Linked DNA regions of Arabidopsis thaliana. The protein of the gene in region 1 interacts with the protein of each later gene in a biochemical or structural test. Each region holds a gene or a part of one and is shown on either strand. Other genes may lie near its edges.

Region 1 (6,873 bases):
CGTCTATACGTCACAATTTAATTATAAATCTGTATACGTAAGTGAAGCCCAAAAAAATAACATTTGTTGTTAAACCATCCCAACTCCCATAATTATTATCTAACCATCTTCCAACTATTAAGAACGTGAAAATAACTATACTGTATATGCAAAATACTTACTAATCAAAATAAAATTTTGGAGAGGAAAGATAGGGTACTTACTAGGAGGTTGCGAGACCACGTACGCTGCACCACCAAAATTACACGTGCCAACTCCACGTGCGTTCTTCTGATAGTAACTGTTGAACGCGTAGGAAGCGTGAGCTTCTAACGATTCAGGATTATAACACGTGGCACCCGGTTGAATCGGACGGCAATCAGCACCTCCTTCGCCACAAGCGTAGTCGAGACCTTCCTGAAGCTTCTCCTTCGTCGTTTTACCATTCGCCACACACCACGTCTGTCCCACGAGCGACGGTTTCACCGGAACAACCTTCTCTTTGTTATCGTTGACCGGCGTTGACTTACCGTTGAGCGAAACGTCATACACTTTGTTCTCGTTTGGGTAAAACAACCCGTAGTTTCTCTCAGAAGTCGGACCCGTTTTCTGATTCTCGTTAAACAGAGCGAACAGATAAACGTTTAGTGGCTCCTTCGGTTTTAACGGCGTTCCGTTTCCCGTCAACACTCTTTTAACTAACCCGCCGTTATACGCCGCCGCGTTAGCCGAACCAGCACCAATCTCGTTCTCGTCTCCGGCAGAAGGCCAGCCTGTCTCTGTCACCACAAGCTTAACGTCGTTAAATCCAACGGCGGACATTGCGGCGAAAACGGCGTCGATCTGAGCGTCTAAGAGACTGTTATACTTCAAACCGTTACCGGAATCAACATTCCCGGCGTTCTCCTTAAACAACGCGTAATCCAACGAGATCTTATCGGCGTTAGCTGCGTAAGCAAAGAAAGGATAAGCATTCACCATAAGATGCGACGACGTTTTGCGGAGGAGATCAAGCATCGGTTTAATAACCGGTTCGATTAACTCCGGTTTAAACGAACCAGCCGACGGTGGATACGAACTCGCCAACGCGCTTAAAGCAATCGGCGACGAGATCTTAATGGATTTGTCGAGATTGAACTTGACGAGAGAGCTTTGAACATTCTTCATAGCTGGAACGAGATACGTCGTCGTGTTCCTCGGATCGACGAACACTTCGTTCCCAACGGCGATTGCTTCGATATCCGTCGCTGGAATGTACTTCTTTATGTTGTCCTGAACCCAAGTGTCGGTGTAGCTCTGATCTGCGGCGGCGGAAGCGAGGTTTTCGTTGGGGAGAGAGACAACGACTTTGATTCCGGAGTTCGCGAGTGCGGTTAGTACAGTTGTCTCGGTGTCGTAAAGCTTGATGCGGTTGATTCCTTGTGTTTTCAGTAGCTCAACTACTTTCTCCGGTGCCGGAAGATTGTCTGCTATACGGCCGTAGTTAACTCCGATCATTCCAGAATCTGATAAGAAGACAAAAACAAACAAAGACATCAGAATCCAAACAAACTAAACTCTGTGGAGAGATGATGAAAATGAGAACTAACCTGCATAAGTGAATGGAATGGCTGAGAAGGAAGAGAGTATGAGTAGAGATAAAACGAAGACCGCCATTGTTGTGTATAGAGAGATAAATAGAGAAAGGTTTCAGTTTTTGTATTCCGGTGAAGGAGAAGCTAAAGATGGTGTTTATATAGAGAGACGAAGAAGAAGGAGAACGAGGGAGGTGGATGTAGTGGGTAGGACCCACGTGAGATATTGGGGATGACTTTGTTTTTTTTAACTGTACGGTTTTGTGATGTAAATATTTCAACTCGATGACGTGTCTAAAGTAAATATTATTTTAATTGTGGATTTGACCGTTTCAGTCGTGTACTGATTGGAGATTGTTGTACCAAATGTTGTCAGAGATTGTGGGGGTACGTGCCAAAATTAGCATTCACTTTTAATTAATTAGGGTCGATTTTACTGCAGCTTTTTTCCTTTTTTGGGGGATTTTATTAACGTTATGTTCTGCATAAAATGAATTGTATAACAAAACGAATTTGTTTAGACATACAATTGCATTTGCAACAACACTTTTAATACGTTCCATAATTATTGGGATTTGGGCACTGAGGCAAATAAAACATGTAGTATCAGCTGGTAATAAATACCTATTAATCACTGGTTGAAAACAGCTGCTAATTATCCGTTAAAGTTAGGATTAATAGGTGAAAAAAACTGGTCGGAGGAGTGATAATTATTAATCGATAATGTGATGCATTGATTGGTCGGAATTAGAATTATTATGTAAATTAATGGTAACTGGGTCTCGTCGAGAAATGAAGAATCTACAATGGGGCCATGTGTCATTCATTGTTCTATACATGTACCAAATTTTGAACGTTGAGCTCTCTGATTTCCAACGTCTCTTTTTCGTACGTCCTAAATATTCCGTCCTTTTTATTATTATTTTGAATGGTTGGAGTTATTATGTTAATAATTGTGTTTAGATATGTTTCGATAAATTTGTAAATCCAAGTATAGATTTATATGAAATATTTGATAGTAACATTGACTGATTCACAAGTTGGTTGTAACTAATATTTTGACTTAGCAAATTGGGCTAATGAACGCGTTTAGATGTGCGGAGGAAAAATGAACATTTTAAGGTTAGCTAAGCTAAGCAAACACCTCAAATTATTTTCCAGTAGTATAATAATGAATTAATCTAAATGGTCCATCTCCGTCCATGGATAAACAAAAAACGATATTTGTAGAGTTTAGTTGTCCTATACAAATAGAACTCTATCGCTAAGCAATTAATGTTTCCTTCTGATGTAAAACCAAGAATTTTGGATGACATTTACGGCTAGTTTTACTAATTACTTGGTGAAAGATGCTTTTTAGATTTATTTGAATTTAATAATTGTGGCCGAATATTAACGGTTATGTACATATAGGCATAGAATGTTAATACACATACGGTAATTACTACTACAGTTTGAAATATAGTTTTATCTTCGGTGATTGAGACCTGAATAATGAAACTAATTAAGAGTAGACATCATAATAACTCCACTATCAAAAGAGAAAATAATAGACATCATCATTTGGTAATATTGTATTTGATGATTATATACATGTTTTTGTTTGTGTATCAACTTGTCCACTAGGTGGTAATCTTATATGTATCAATGTATGCTGGTTTACATATACTTTAGTATAACAATTTAATTTTTGGATTATGAAAGTAACAATAATTTAATAATGTATCTATGGAGGTTGTCGACATCGTACGGTATGTTTCGACAAGGCCCTTAAGTCTTAAGTCGGTACATGAAATTGAAAATGAAACACAATGACAAGTCCATATGAAAATTGAAAACATTATAATATCCAGAGAGGTGTGTCACCTTCAGATTGACTTATTTGTAACTATTATGAGTTTATGACGAATTTCTAAATATAAACGTTAACTAATATATTCGTATAAATATAACATCATCATTATTAGTTTCTTATCAACCAAGAGAAAGAATTCAATGTGGTAGGTCACTTGGATGCTGTCCAACAAATTGAGTTTTAGATAGGAATGTTAGCATTGTCCCTGATCTTTACGTTACGATACAATGCCTATTAGTTTATCAAATTAAAAACTGGAAATATATTATGTCGGGCCGAAATAGAAGTCGTCACGAAACATAGACTAACCATTTACACACTATGACGGTCGACGTACATTATTTTTTAATATTAAATAATAACCATGCATGCATTAGAAGTTTAGAACATCAAGAAATATATAAATTTTATAAAGAGAGCTTGCCCTAAACTTTGTCAAATAATATCATAATTTTGAGTTTCTTTTTAAAATACCACAAAAGTTATGTTTGCTAAGATTTTTAAAAGTTTCTAACTGTTGTATTTTTTTTGAAATTATTAGATTACCGTGGTAATTAGATTTTATTTTTAAATATGATTTATAAATTTTCTAAAAACTATTTGGTCGGTTCACGAAAATGGGTTCCAACTTTATATACTGTGTAGAAGTAATTAAGCCCACATATGAGCATATTTGATCTTAAACCAGCCCAATAGCCCATTACGAATGCTTGATTAAACGGCAGTGTTTTCATGTACGAATTCCACGCTCTCCTAGCCGTCGGATGATAAGCTACAATGATTATGAGCCGTTCGATATATCACCACAAGAATCTGTAGATCAAAAGTGAGTGCGATCAAGAACTGGTTTCAGTCACTTTTTTGACAAGTCTCTCTTTCTCAAAAGTCAACCCCTTATTTTGCAATACTGTATTGTGAATCTCTCTATCAGGCCTTCGTATTTCTCACAGACTGGAGTTTTTGTTTCATAAAATCTGATAAAAGGAAAGATGTCTAACCCTCAAGATGACAAGCCCATCGACCAAGAACAAGAAGCTCATGTCATTCTCAAGGTCAAGAGCCAGGTTTTTTCACTGTGTTCCCTCTTTAATCTCCTTGAAATTTTCTGTCGTTGCTGCTTGGTTGATAATACTATATATACAGTTTCTTGATATGAAAACTTTGATGATACTCTTTTCCAAACTGTGATGATCTAAAGTATAGAGTGATTAAAATCTTTTTTCTTGATTGGTGATACTAAGGATGGAGACGAAGTCTTATTTAAGAACAAAAAAAGCGCTCCACTTAAAAAGCTCATGTATGTTTACTGCGACCGCCGAGGTTTGAAATTAGACGCATTCGCTTTCATTTTTAATGGAGCTCGTATAGGTGGCCTGGAGACTCCAGATGAGGCAAATCACTCTCTTTTTCATTTCCCTTTTACAATTTATATGTTTGTCAAAAGTGTATCATTTACTAAACCAAGATTCTCCAATTTTAAAGCTTGATATGGAAGATGGAGATGTGATAGATGCGTGCCGGGCGATGAGTGGTGGTCTACGAGCAAATCAGCGTCAGTGGTCTTATATGCTTTTCGATCATAATGGGCTTTAATTAGGAATAATTTGGCTGGCTTTGTGATATTTGACTACTTTCTTCAAGCAAAATTACTTGAAGTTTAAATCATGGTCGGTTATCGTGTGTGTAAATGACTCATGAGTGATTGGATCTTATGAATTATGATATTAATGGTATCTGGTTACGGATTTTTAGAATCTTTGTACTTTGTTAATTTTACAACCGTGAATAAACAACTCATCAAAACCTCTAAAACTCAAGTTGGCTAATTGTAAAAGGTCACACAACAAAACCATATTAAACAATTGAAATCTTTACTGGTTTGATCAAAATCAAACGGTTCACTTTGAACATCTTCACTTTTCCCAACTCAAACAAATCTACTCGAAAGCTGAGATTTTCACATTTTAAAATTCTTGGGTAGACACAGAAGTAACCAGCCCATTTGAGCCCATTAAGAATGCTAAAACGACATCATTTTAAGTTAGAGATTATACTCACTCACAGCCGTCGAATGATATAGATCAATGATTATGAACCGTTAGATAAACAAGAATCCGATGCGACCAAAGATAGTGGTTTCAGTCTTTTTTATTCTCTGCCGAGTCTCTCTCTCTCCCTCAAACCCTCAAGTTCTGCAATCCCGCGAATCTCTCTTAGGGCTTCGCTTATATCGCAGATCGAAGTTCTTGTTTCCAATCGCCGACCGTATAATCTGATAATAAAGTAAGATGTCTGCTACTCCGGAAGAAGACAAGAAGCCTGACCAAGGAGCTCACATCAATCTCAAAGTCAAGGGACAGGTTTTCTATTTCTCACTCACTCTCTCGACTTCTATTTCTTGCATTGTGTAACGATTCGTTGTCTGGTTAAAGTTTTGAGTGTGATTAGGATCTTTATAGCTTCTGATTGCTTCAATTCTAGGGTTTTGAGTTTGTCTGCGTTATTCCCAATTTCTATTCTGGTTAGCTTGTCTATGAGGTAGTGATTATTGTGTAAGCGTGACTTTTAATTGGCTTAAATTTGAAGCAAACAAAAGTTATCTGAGAATTGTGAATTATGTTTTGACTCATAATTGTAGCAAACAAAACATTACTACTCTTGTATGTGTGAGGGTGTGTATTGGTGGAGACAGTGATTATCTTCGAAGAAATTGTTGTAATGTTGTGAGTTGTGACTAAGCTAACAATTTATAACCTTGAACTCTCACTATAGCCTATTGTAGTTATGCTTTTGGAGTATGGAGCATTTGTTTCATGAAAGCTTTTCGTTGCTATGATTTGTTTTGCTTATGTTTCTGTACCCATTGGTAGGCATTTTTCGTTGTTGGTACTTGGTTGGTTATAGATACAGTTTTTGGTATTGAGAAAATCGTATATAATACTCTTCTTGAAGTAACAATCATTGGTAATTTTTCTTGTGTAGGATGGTAATGAAGTCTTCTTTAGGATCAAGAGAAGCACTCAGCTCAAAAAACTGATGAATGCTTACTGTGACCGTCAGTCTGTGGATTTCAACTCAATTGCTTTCTTGTTTGATGGTCGTCGTCTTCGTGCCGAGCAGACTCCAGATGAGGTAACATCACTCTCTGTACCCCATTCTCTTTTACTGTTTTCCGTTTTTCAAAGTTGTATGATTTCCTTAACCGAGAATCTTCAATTTTACAGCTTGAAATGGAAGATGGAGATGAGATCGATGCAATGCTTCATCAGACTGGTGGTGGTGCTAAAAATGGCCTGAAGCTCTTCTGCTTTTAGTGGCGGTTATTTTAATGGTTTTCCATAAGATTGTGTGATATTAATGGATTTAGTGAATCGGCTTTAGATTAAATTTGGCAGGCTTTGTTTTACTTTGACCAGTTTCTACTTACTGGTGAAAGTCTATGTGAATCATGAAACTTATTGGATC
Region 2 (8,653 bases), 6.5 Mb from region 1:
AAGTTGTTCTCCATGAATTTCACAAATCCATAGAAATCGATTCTTCCGTCTTTACTTCCATCGAATGATCTGATCATTCTCCTGCAGTTCTCAAGGTTAGATCCTTGCTTTAAGCCAAGGATTGTCAAAACTCTCTGCAAATCTATAGGATCGATAAACCCATCTCTGTTTTCATCAAAGACATCAAAAGCTTGCTTCACTTCCTCTAAGCTTGGCTCTTTCTCTTCGAACAGATTCGAAACCTCCTTGGAACTGTACTGTTTTTGAAGTCCCTCGTTTTCTTGGTCAGTGGAAAGCCCTAAGCTTTTCATAACCATCCCTACATCTTCTCTGCAAAGACCATCATCATCATCATCACGATATTCTTCGTGTTTGATCGAAGTTTGGAACTCAAGATCTTTGCTCTTCTTCTCGGAAACACATTGCTGGTGTTGAACAAGAGGCCAGAACCTAGAGAAAAATAACTGAGCAAAAGAAACCCATCTGAAAAAACCGATGAGGAAGAAGTTGATCAGACCAAACAAAGGGAAAGACAAAGAAGAAGACTGTTTGCATTTAGACAATGAACTCTTCATGGTTATAAAGCTATATAATTGGTTTTCAGTCATAACTTTTGTTAGAAGTCTATTTGAAAAGTAAAACTAGGCAAAATAATGAATCACAAGGAAAAGAATGTTTTGGAGGAGATGTTGGAGATATGAGTTTGTTTTTATGGTTGTGTATATATAGATGATGAATAAGTCAATGTGGACACAATTTTGGTGGCGAGGCAAAAGAGAGGAAGTTGCAGTTGGAAGAAGAGACCAAGAAGGATAGGGAAAGGAGAAACTTACAAAAAGACTTGGTGTAAGATAATAAATAAAGAATTAAGAGGAAATTTCTTCTGCACCTTTGATGGGGAATTGTTTTTTGTACTTTTTTGGAAAGAAGTTGGTCATATTAATATTAAATTGTATTATACACCTATGTATATATTACAATTAAGGTTTTGATTGGTGACCCCTTACATTGTTAAGAAAACTAAGGAAATGTTAAAATATGTATGTGTGTCTTAGATATCATACATGATACGGTCGGGGATACTCCTTCATTGTCAAAATATAAGATGTTAACTAGATTTTAACCCGCGGTATACCGCGGAACAATTTATTTTTTAAAGTTAGTATACATAAAAGTTTGCAAAATGTATTATTTATTTTTAAATTAATGTTGATCTTATTTATGATATGTTTATGAATTATTGTCTAAATATATTGTAATTTTGTAGTAATTAAATGTTATCAAATATCTCTGCGGTTTGATGATTATAATCGAATTGTTATAGTCATGGAGAAAAGCAATATTAAAAATGATAATTTTGTAGTAATTAAATGATATTAAATATTTTGGAAGTTTTATTTTAGTAACTAATTGTGTAGTTAATGTGGAGAGATTTAGGGAAGGTTGTTAAATGTCAAATATTTAATTCGAAGATTTTTTTTCTAATTATCAAAAACAAACATTAAAATTCAGTGGCAGCCATTGTAAATTATTTCCAACTACAAGATTTATTTCATAAAATGGCTGCAAAAATGTATATGTAGGTATAAGATGTTTTGACTAAAAACACGTAAATTAAGAAATATTTAAATTTTTAAAAATTTACCAATTATAAAAAAAACTGCACAATACAAATGATTATAAAATATTAATATATAATTTTCGTAGAAAGTTGAATACATCTTATAATATAAATTGGAAAAAAATCTCCAAAATATATATAGAAGGAGTATCTTTTTGGTTTTATAGGTTTTTTAGAGGTTTTATTTGTTTTCTAAACCAAATCGACATATTTTTGGTCATGGTTTGAATTGTTGTATTGTGTGGTTCAGTTCATTCTTACTAGTCTTGACAAATTTTGATACAAATTTCATATGAATACTTACTTTACTTTATGTAAAATATTCAGACGAAATTTCGTATAAATTTTGCAAGAGTAAGGCAGCGAGACAAACAAGTAGACTAAGAAAAACATAAAAAGCAAAGGAAAATTTCTTATAGCTAATTTCCACAATTAAGTAATCGTTTTCTCACCATAATCCGTGACTTGTTTGACCAAACGTAAGAAATCAATTAAACGATGACTAATTCAATAGTACTCTTATTGTTCTAGTCATGAAAAAGACTAACACGAATTTAATGTCACAATTGCAACTAATTTCCTTACTAAATTTCCTGGAAATTGCAACTGAACAAACAAGGTAGTGGCTTTCTTTTTCTTTTGGCGTTTTTCACAAACTTCTTCTATATTAATTTACTACTTATCTCTTAATATAGTATCAAAATGTTCTTTCATTGGTTGTTTTGGTCAATAGACGATAAATCTTCTGATATAGCTGACTTTGTCAATCCATTTAGTGTGGTTTCTTTAATATTTTTAATCCTAGATTATACAAATATCGAACCGTAGTTGGCAGCTTGCAATATCTTCTCTTCATGCATCTACCACATTGCTTTTGCTTATGTATGTTGTCAATAGACTCTCCATTCATGCATCAACCATGACCATTTGCTTGCAGTGAAGAAGCTGTGTTTGCGTTATTTTCGCAGTATTGGTGATCGCGGCTTGCTTTTTCGAGACTTGGTTCATGTCTTTGTTGGGTGATTTTTGGACTGGTTATAAGAATGACTACACATCTACTAAAGCAAACCTGATTTACCATGGTAAACACTTGACATCGCGGTCATCTAAGAAGTTGAAGACAGTGGTTCGCTCCTCCGCGGATGCCGAAAACAAGCTTGTTGCTGCCACTACTACTGAAGTCCAATAAGTTAGATCACTCTCAAGATTCTGAGAATCATACATCATGTGGATAACTATAAACGTTCCTTTAAACTTGTTTGAATTTGTCTGTGAACATACAATGTCATGATAGGGAAAATAAGTTATTCATGCAAGATACATTTATTTAACTACAGTTTTGAGGTTTTTTCATTTATGATACAACAAACTTTCACTCTGCAATCCAAAAACTACTTATCCCTCACTATGTCAACCATTATATATATATACACAAACATGTGTGTGTATATATAGCTATATGTACAAAAGGACTCACCTGCTTTCTTGGAACACAAGACTGAACCCAAAAACAATCAAATCAGCTGCTTAGATTCTTCTTCTTTCTATGAGCTCTCATGGAAGTTTGCTGACCTAGAAAGAGCAGCAGGATTCGCTTGCAACTCCGGTCTTCTTCCCGGAAGTCTTCCTTCAGAAAGACTGCTTTTTTCTTTGGTTGATGATCTGAAAGCTCCGAAAGTATCCGCATTTTCGTCTTTTTTGATCCCTAATGTTTCCCAGATGGAACTTTTAGCAGCTTCCTCTGGATCATCAATCCTCAGCGTCTTGGGAACCCACAAGCATCTCTCGGGTTTGCTTTTCTCCCTACCAAGTGACTCGGTTTCATCAAAAGCGGTTCCTGGTTCAGCAGCGTTCTCGTCACGTGAATGTTTACCTAGTGTAGGAGAATTTGGATTGGAACCAGATGGTGAATTGGGTTGTGGCATCCATGTGAAGCTGTTCCATGCCCCCGGTGAAACCCCCGGGCAGCTCCAGTAAGCCGGTGGAGGGTAAAACGGTAAAATCGTCCACGAAACTCCGTTCCAAGCGTAAGGCCAAGTTGGTGGTGGTCCTGGAAAGCATGGAACTTTTGGTAACGGGCTGACTGTTCCAGCTTCTTCGTTTGTCTGGTTTAACGGAACCGTAATCTTCAAGCCTTCATTGGGTTCTTGCAATACAGTTTGTGTCTTCAACAATGACTTCTCAACAAGATTCAATCCAGAAGCCATAGATTCACAAAGCACAGAATCAGAGCCAAAAGTGAGAAGATTTGCACCATTAGGATGTTGAAGATCAGTTCTCGCCACCTTCTGCATAGCTTCCGCAGATGTTATACTTACATGACGGTTATAATGAGAAGCTGGACTCTTATTCTTACGTCTCCCAGCACCAACCGGAACATTCCTCATCGTTCCACCAGCTGTCCAATATCTCTGACATTTCTTGCAGAAATGGCGAGGTTGGTTAACATTATAGTTGTTGTAGTAACAGAACTTGGTTTCCATGCTGTTACATCGCGGACACGGTAGAATCTTATCAGGTTTCTTTAACTTCCCCTCTTGAGAGCAAGCAGTACCACCTGACTCTTCATTCGTCTTTGCAGCTTTTGTTGTTTCCGTTTTTTCAGTTATACCCGATGTAGTAGTAGTAACATCATTAGATTCATTCCTCAATGACTCTTCCTGACACTCACTATCTTTTTCTTCCTGAAGAATAACATAAGAACCAGAGTCAGATCGTTGTTATGTATCCTAATCAAACAAACAACAAACAGAAGCTAGAAGCTACAGGGATCAAAGACTTGATTCCAATCACAGAGAAGCTAAAACCCTGAAAAGTTCTTAAGCAAATCAATATCAAAACCTATAACCATCAATCAAAACCAAATGGAACTAATTAAGATCTCAAATCACTTTATAACAAAAGGAAAAAAAAAAACTCATTTGAGAATCCAGATTTACAATTTTCGAATCCCCAAAAGCTCTGAAAACCTAGTTCTTACATAAACAAACCAAAAATCATAACTTTATCAATAAAACTAAGATTTGACCAATCTAACATAAACCCATCAATCATTTCCATTTAACAAATCAAAATCAATTCACAAGTTCCAAAAAAAACTAACCTTTTTATCAGTCTCGCTCTCTCCTCCACCATCACCAACATCATCACCTTCTTCTCGTCCTAAACCGGAATCACCCATCTCTTCATCATCATCATCGCCGGTACACGAATCTGATAACCGAACAGGAATCTGAGTTTCGGTTAAAAATCCGGTATAGCTAGAAGAAGAATCAACAACACCAAGCTCAGGTAAAGGAATCGTCTTTCCAAAGAGCTTAATCGCCGGATCAGCCATGGTAATGATTCCTTTTCACTTCTTTCTTTCTTTCTTCTCCAGCGAGCAAAAAGCGGAAACTTTTTGAGAAGACAGAGGAAAAAAGTTCCAATTTTTATTTGTTTAAAAGAGAGAGAGAAACGACTGTCTTGTTATCGGTGGTTGTCTGAGTTTTGATTTCTAGATTTGTTAATTGGGAATGCTTTTTTGTCTTTGCGAGAGAGAAAGAAAAAAGATTTACAGATTTTGCTTTTTGGGTTTGTGATCTTTCGAATTGTACAACCTTTTGATTCGCCCAGAGTGCCACGTCATCACACGTGAGGATTCTTAGCCACAAGTTTATTTTTGTTTTTGTGGACTTTTTTTTTTCTCTTTTTCGTCTCTTTTTGGCTTTCTTTTTATTTTCCTTTTCAATCTGGTCAGTGGTCAGCACTTTTTTTTACTTTTACTTTTCTTTTCATTTTTAACTTTTTTATTTTAAAAGTCTGAATTTTTTTAAATTAATGTAAAAATGGTTGATTAAAGGCCATTTAACTTCTAATTTACATGTTTTCTAATTCTAACTATGTCAATAAATTTTTTGTTACCCACACATTTATTAAAAAATTACTGTTTATAAATGAAATTTCAGAAGAAAAAACAAACTTTAGAGTAACAAACAAAAAACATATTTAAAACCTTGAAACACTTTTTAATTCCTAGCTTTCTATAATAGCCATATCCATGGAAAACAATATCATGATTAGATTTGGAGAGAAAGAAAAAAAAAACATATTTATGAAAGAAACAAATTACATGATATAAACATTAATTTTCTCATTTTTAAAGAACTAAGAAGATCCAACAAAAAATTAAAATACTAAAAAAATATAGTATTTTATCCCCAAAAAAACCAATCTTTGTCTTCAAACAAATCCATTTTACAGATTGATACTCCTTGTGTTCTTTTTTCTTTGATTTTTTAGGAAAAACACAAATATTAAGAAAACATATTAAATGTTGCTTTTAAATGTATTATTCTTTGTAATTTATAATTTTCAATAACTCTAAACCAATGATATTCAATAATTCTTATTGAAGTTTACAATTTATCAATTATAACTAAATAAATATTGCATTGAAAACCAAAAAATCAATCTTTTTGAAACAATTTTTTTCTAGAAAATCAAAAAAAAAAAACAAAAGGAGTATGTGTTTTTTTACGCTGATAATAATAGTCATTTAGTTACAGTTTTAGCTTGGTACTTGTAGGAAAAATAAATTAACATTGAAATCACTTTCTTTTTTTTAAATGAAGCTACAAGTATTTACTATATAGTGGATCTTCAGTTTCTTTCCTCTTTTTTGCCTATATTCTTGTCATAAAATCTTCAACATATCAGAGATACGTGGCTGTAATAAGTCGATGTTAGAAGTTGTGGTTACTAATGAACGCCAAGTCGATTTGGAAAAAGTGCAATATTGTGGATAAGAAGTAATTGAACGCCAAGTCTAACATTGAAAAAGTGCAATTATGTGGATAAGTATATAGTACCTTTATTTCAGACCACCCCAAATCACAAATATATACTATATAATAAAGTTTTTTCATTACATTTATTATATTATCCCCACTTGGAGGCACGACTGATAAAGATTCTTAGGAAACATATTTTATCATTTTTCGACTGTTTCCCCGAACTAAAGAAACGTTATTTGAGTTTTGTTTTATTAAAATTAGCATTTTTCGTATAAAAACAAGTCTCGTTGATATATCACATGACTTGAACATTCTCGAATTAGAACTTGAATGAACTATATTGTAAAAAAAAAAAAAAAAAAGAACTTGAATGAACTATATTGTAAAAAAAAAAAAAAAAAGAACTTGAATGAACTATATTGTAAAAAAAAAAAAAAAAGAACTTGAATGAACTATATTGTAAAAGCTGGCTAAGTTCATTAAGTGACTCTTGGTGAAAACGGAGAATTTTTGCTTAATGAAAACATGGTGATCAAATTTCGAATATTACAATACAAGATTGATTCGAATAAATTTTCATATCGTTACTAGGAAAAACAAAACTCCATTTCATTATTGCTAATTGGGTAGACTTTTTATCTTCGTATTTATAGAAAATTTGTAGATCAAGTTATGTGTTTATGTAGATAATTTTACTGGCTAATCAATAAAATTAAGAATTTTCTTTTCATACTGATGAATTTTCTGACATGATATCAAAGCATAACCATATAAATACTAGTATTTTGGTTTGTTCGATCCCTCACATATTTGAAATTTCTTCTTCTTCTCTTTTTTCTTCTTTCTTCCAATCTTATATTTTGTCACTTTTCTTCTTGTTAGTCTTTGATAACGCTGGTTCTTTGTAGAATTGCGGGATATGAACAAGGGACCTTCTCGTCTTCTTGACTATGTTGATATCTTTGAAAGAGTGCCGAAACAAGGAACGTGTTATGAAAAAAAATCACTTTTTAATCCTATCAATTCATCAGAAACTGAAGACAATGAACACTTATACAACTCAGGGGTTGATAAGCTCAAATCTAAAGAACTCATAATCTAATCTAAATAAAATAGATACAAAACACAACGTGGAGATTAAGACTTTGGGCCAACATGACATGCCTACACAACAAAAAGGACAAAGCCCACGCGGACTCTTTTTTTTTTTTTTGGCCTCCACTACATCACGGACTCAATTGGTAATTAATTGCATAGTTTGAGATCTTAACAAAAAAAGTACTGCATTGAGGAAGCTTTTACTAACGTCATAATGTACTCCTCCTATCAAACAAGTCTAGATAGAATCAACACAACATTTTATTTAACAATACAATAGATAAAAATAGTAGAACATTGGAGTTTAAATCAGATAATCTAAATTACAAGGAAAATACGAAATAGATACTAAAACAAACCAAAAAACAGAAAAGTGAAAATAAATTAACCAGTCATGCAACCAACACCATATCGAGTGGTCGGAAAAACAAGAAACAAAGCACTACAAACAATTCCAACCATTATTGGAAAACTCTCCATAACTTGATCCATCTCTTTCTCTTTCCCTGGAAACAAACATCCCGTGACTCTTCGATCCGAAAACGCAATCGCCATAAACACCAAAACGCTCATCACTGCATGAACAAAGTCATTAACCGTCAACTTATACCTATCATCAGTCACCGGAATCTCTGCCTCCGCTATAACATCTCCGCCACCAAACTCTGGAGGCGGCGGTTTCATGAACACCGCGAGTCCACGTGGCGTCACGAAACCGTAGTAGATCTTCCCATCGGATGCTTTGAAACTGTCGGTAAAATGGAAGAAGAAACAAGACATTGCGCAAAGAAGCAAGAGGAGATGAATCATGAGTGTGTTGATTCCGTTACAGTCTCCGTCACGGTATATTGATGGAAGAACCATTTCGAACATCAAGAGTGTTCCTGTCGGAAGGAAGTTGACGAGCATTGATGTCTTCGAAACCGTTTTTTGAACTCCTTGCGCCACCATGCGACGTTTTCGACCTCTTCCTCCTCCAGCGGCGGCTCCTGACGGGAGGGAAGGCAATGAAGAGATTAAGACGGGTTTTGGTGAACGAGAAGGTGGTGATGGTGATGGTTTTTGCGGCGGAGTCGCCGTGTAAACTCTGATTCCGACGCTTTCCTCTGTTTTCTCCATTTTCGTGTGTTTCTCTCTGTTTTTTTCTTTTGTGATTTAC

Evidence for each region. Proteins that work in one complex are often made in the same cells at the same time.
Region 2: of the proteins of SUMO3 (region 1) and CDF2, one has a biochemical effect on the other in vitro, tested with the Arabidopsis thaliana proteins (one study listed by BioGRID).

What each region holds. Positions count from the first base shown.
Region 1 is NC_003076.8:22,383,596-22,390,468, reverse strand, and holds SUMO3 (small ubiquitin-like modifier 3), read left to right. Parts: upstream 1-4,263; 5' UTR 4,264-4,397; coding exon 4,398-4,472; intron 4,473-4,649; coding exon 4,650-4,799; coding exon of another isoform or gene 4,800-4,890; coding exon 4,891-5,001; 3' UTR 5,002-5,212; downstream 5,213-6,873. Other genes in the region: AT5G55180 (O-Glycosyl hydrolases family 17 protein), read right to left, coding at 200-1,484, 1,569-1,635; SUMO2 (small ubiquitin-like modifier 2), read left to right, coding at 5,697-5,768, 6,279-6,317, 6,391-6,540, 6,633-6,722. UniProt on the Arabidopsis thaliana protein: Ubiquitin-like protein which can be covalently attached to target lysines as a monomer. Does not seem to be involved in protein degradation and may function as an antagonist of ubiquitin in the degradation process.
Region 2 is NC_003076.8:15,875,225-15,883,877, reverse strand, and holds CDF2 (cycling DOF factor 2), read right to left. Parts: upstream 5,153-8,653; 5' UTR 4,959-5,152; coding exon 4,725-4,958; intron 4,306-4,724; coding exon 3,166-4,305; 3' UTR 3,099-3,165; exon of another isoform or gene 2,797-3,098; 3' UTR 2,341-2,796; downstream 1-2,340. Other genes in the region: AT5G39670 (Calcium-binding EF-hand family protein), read right to left, coding at 1-608; DAU2 (transmembrane protein, putative (DUF679)), read right to left, coding at 7,879-8,613. UniProt on the Arabidopsis thaliana protein: Transcription factor that binds specifically to a 5'-AA[AG]G-3' consensus core sequence. Regulates a photoperiodic flowering response. Transcriptional repressor of 'CONSTANS' expression.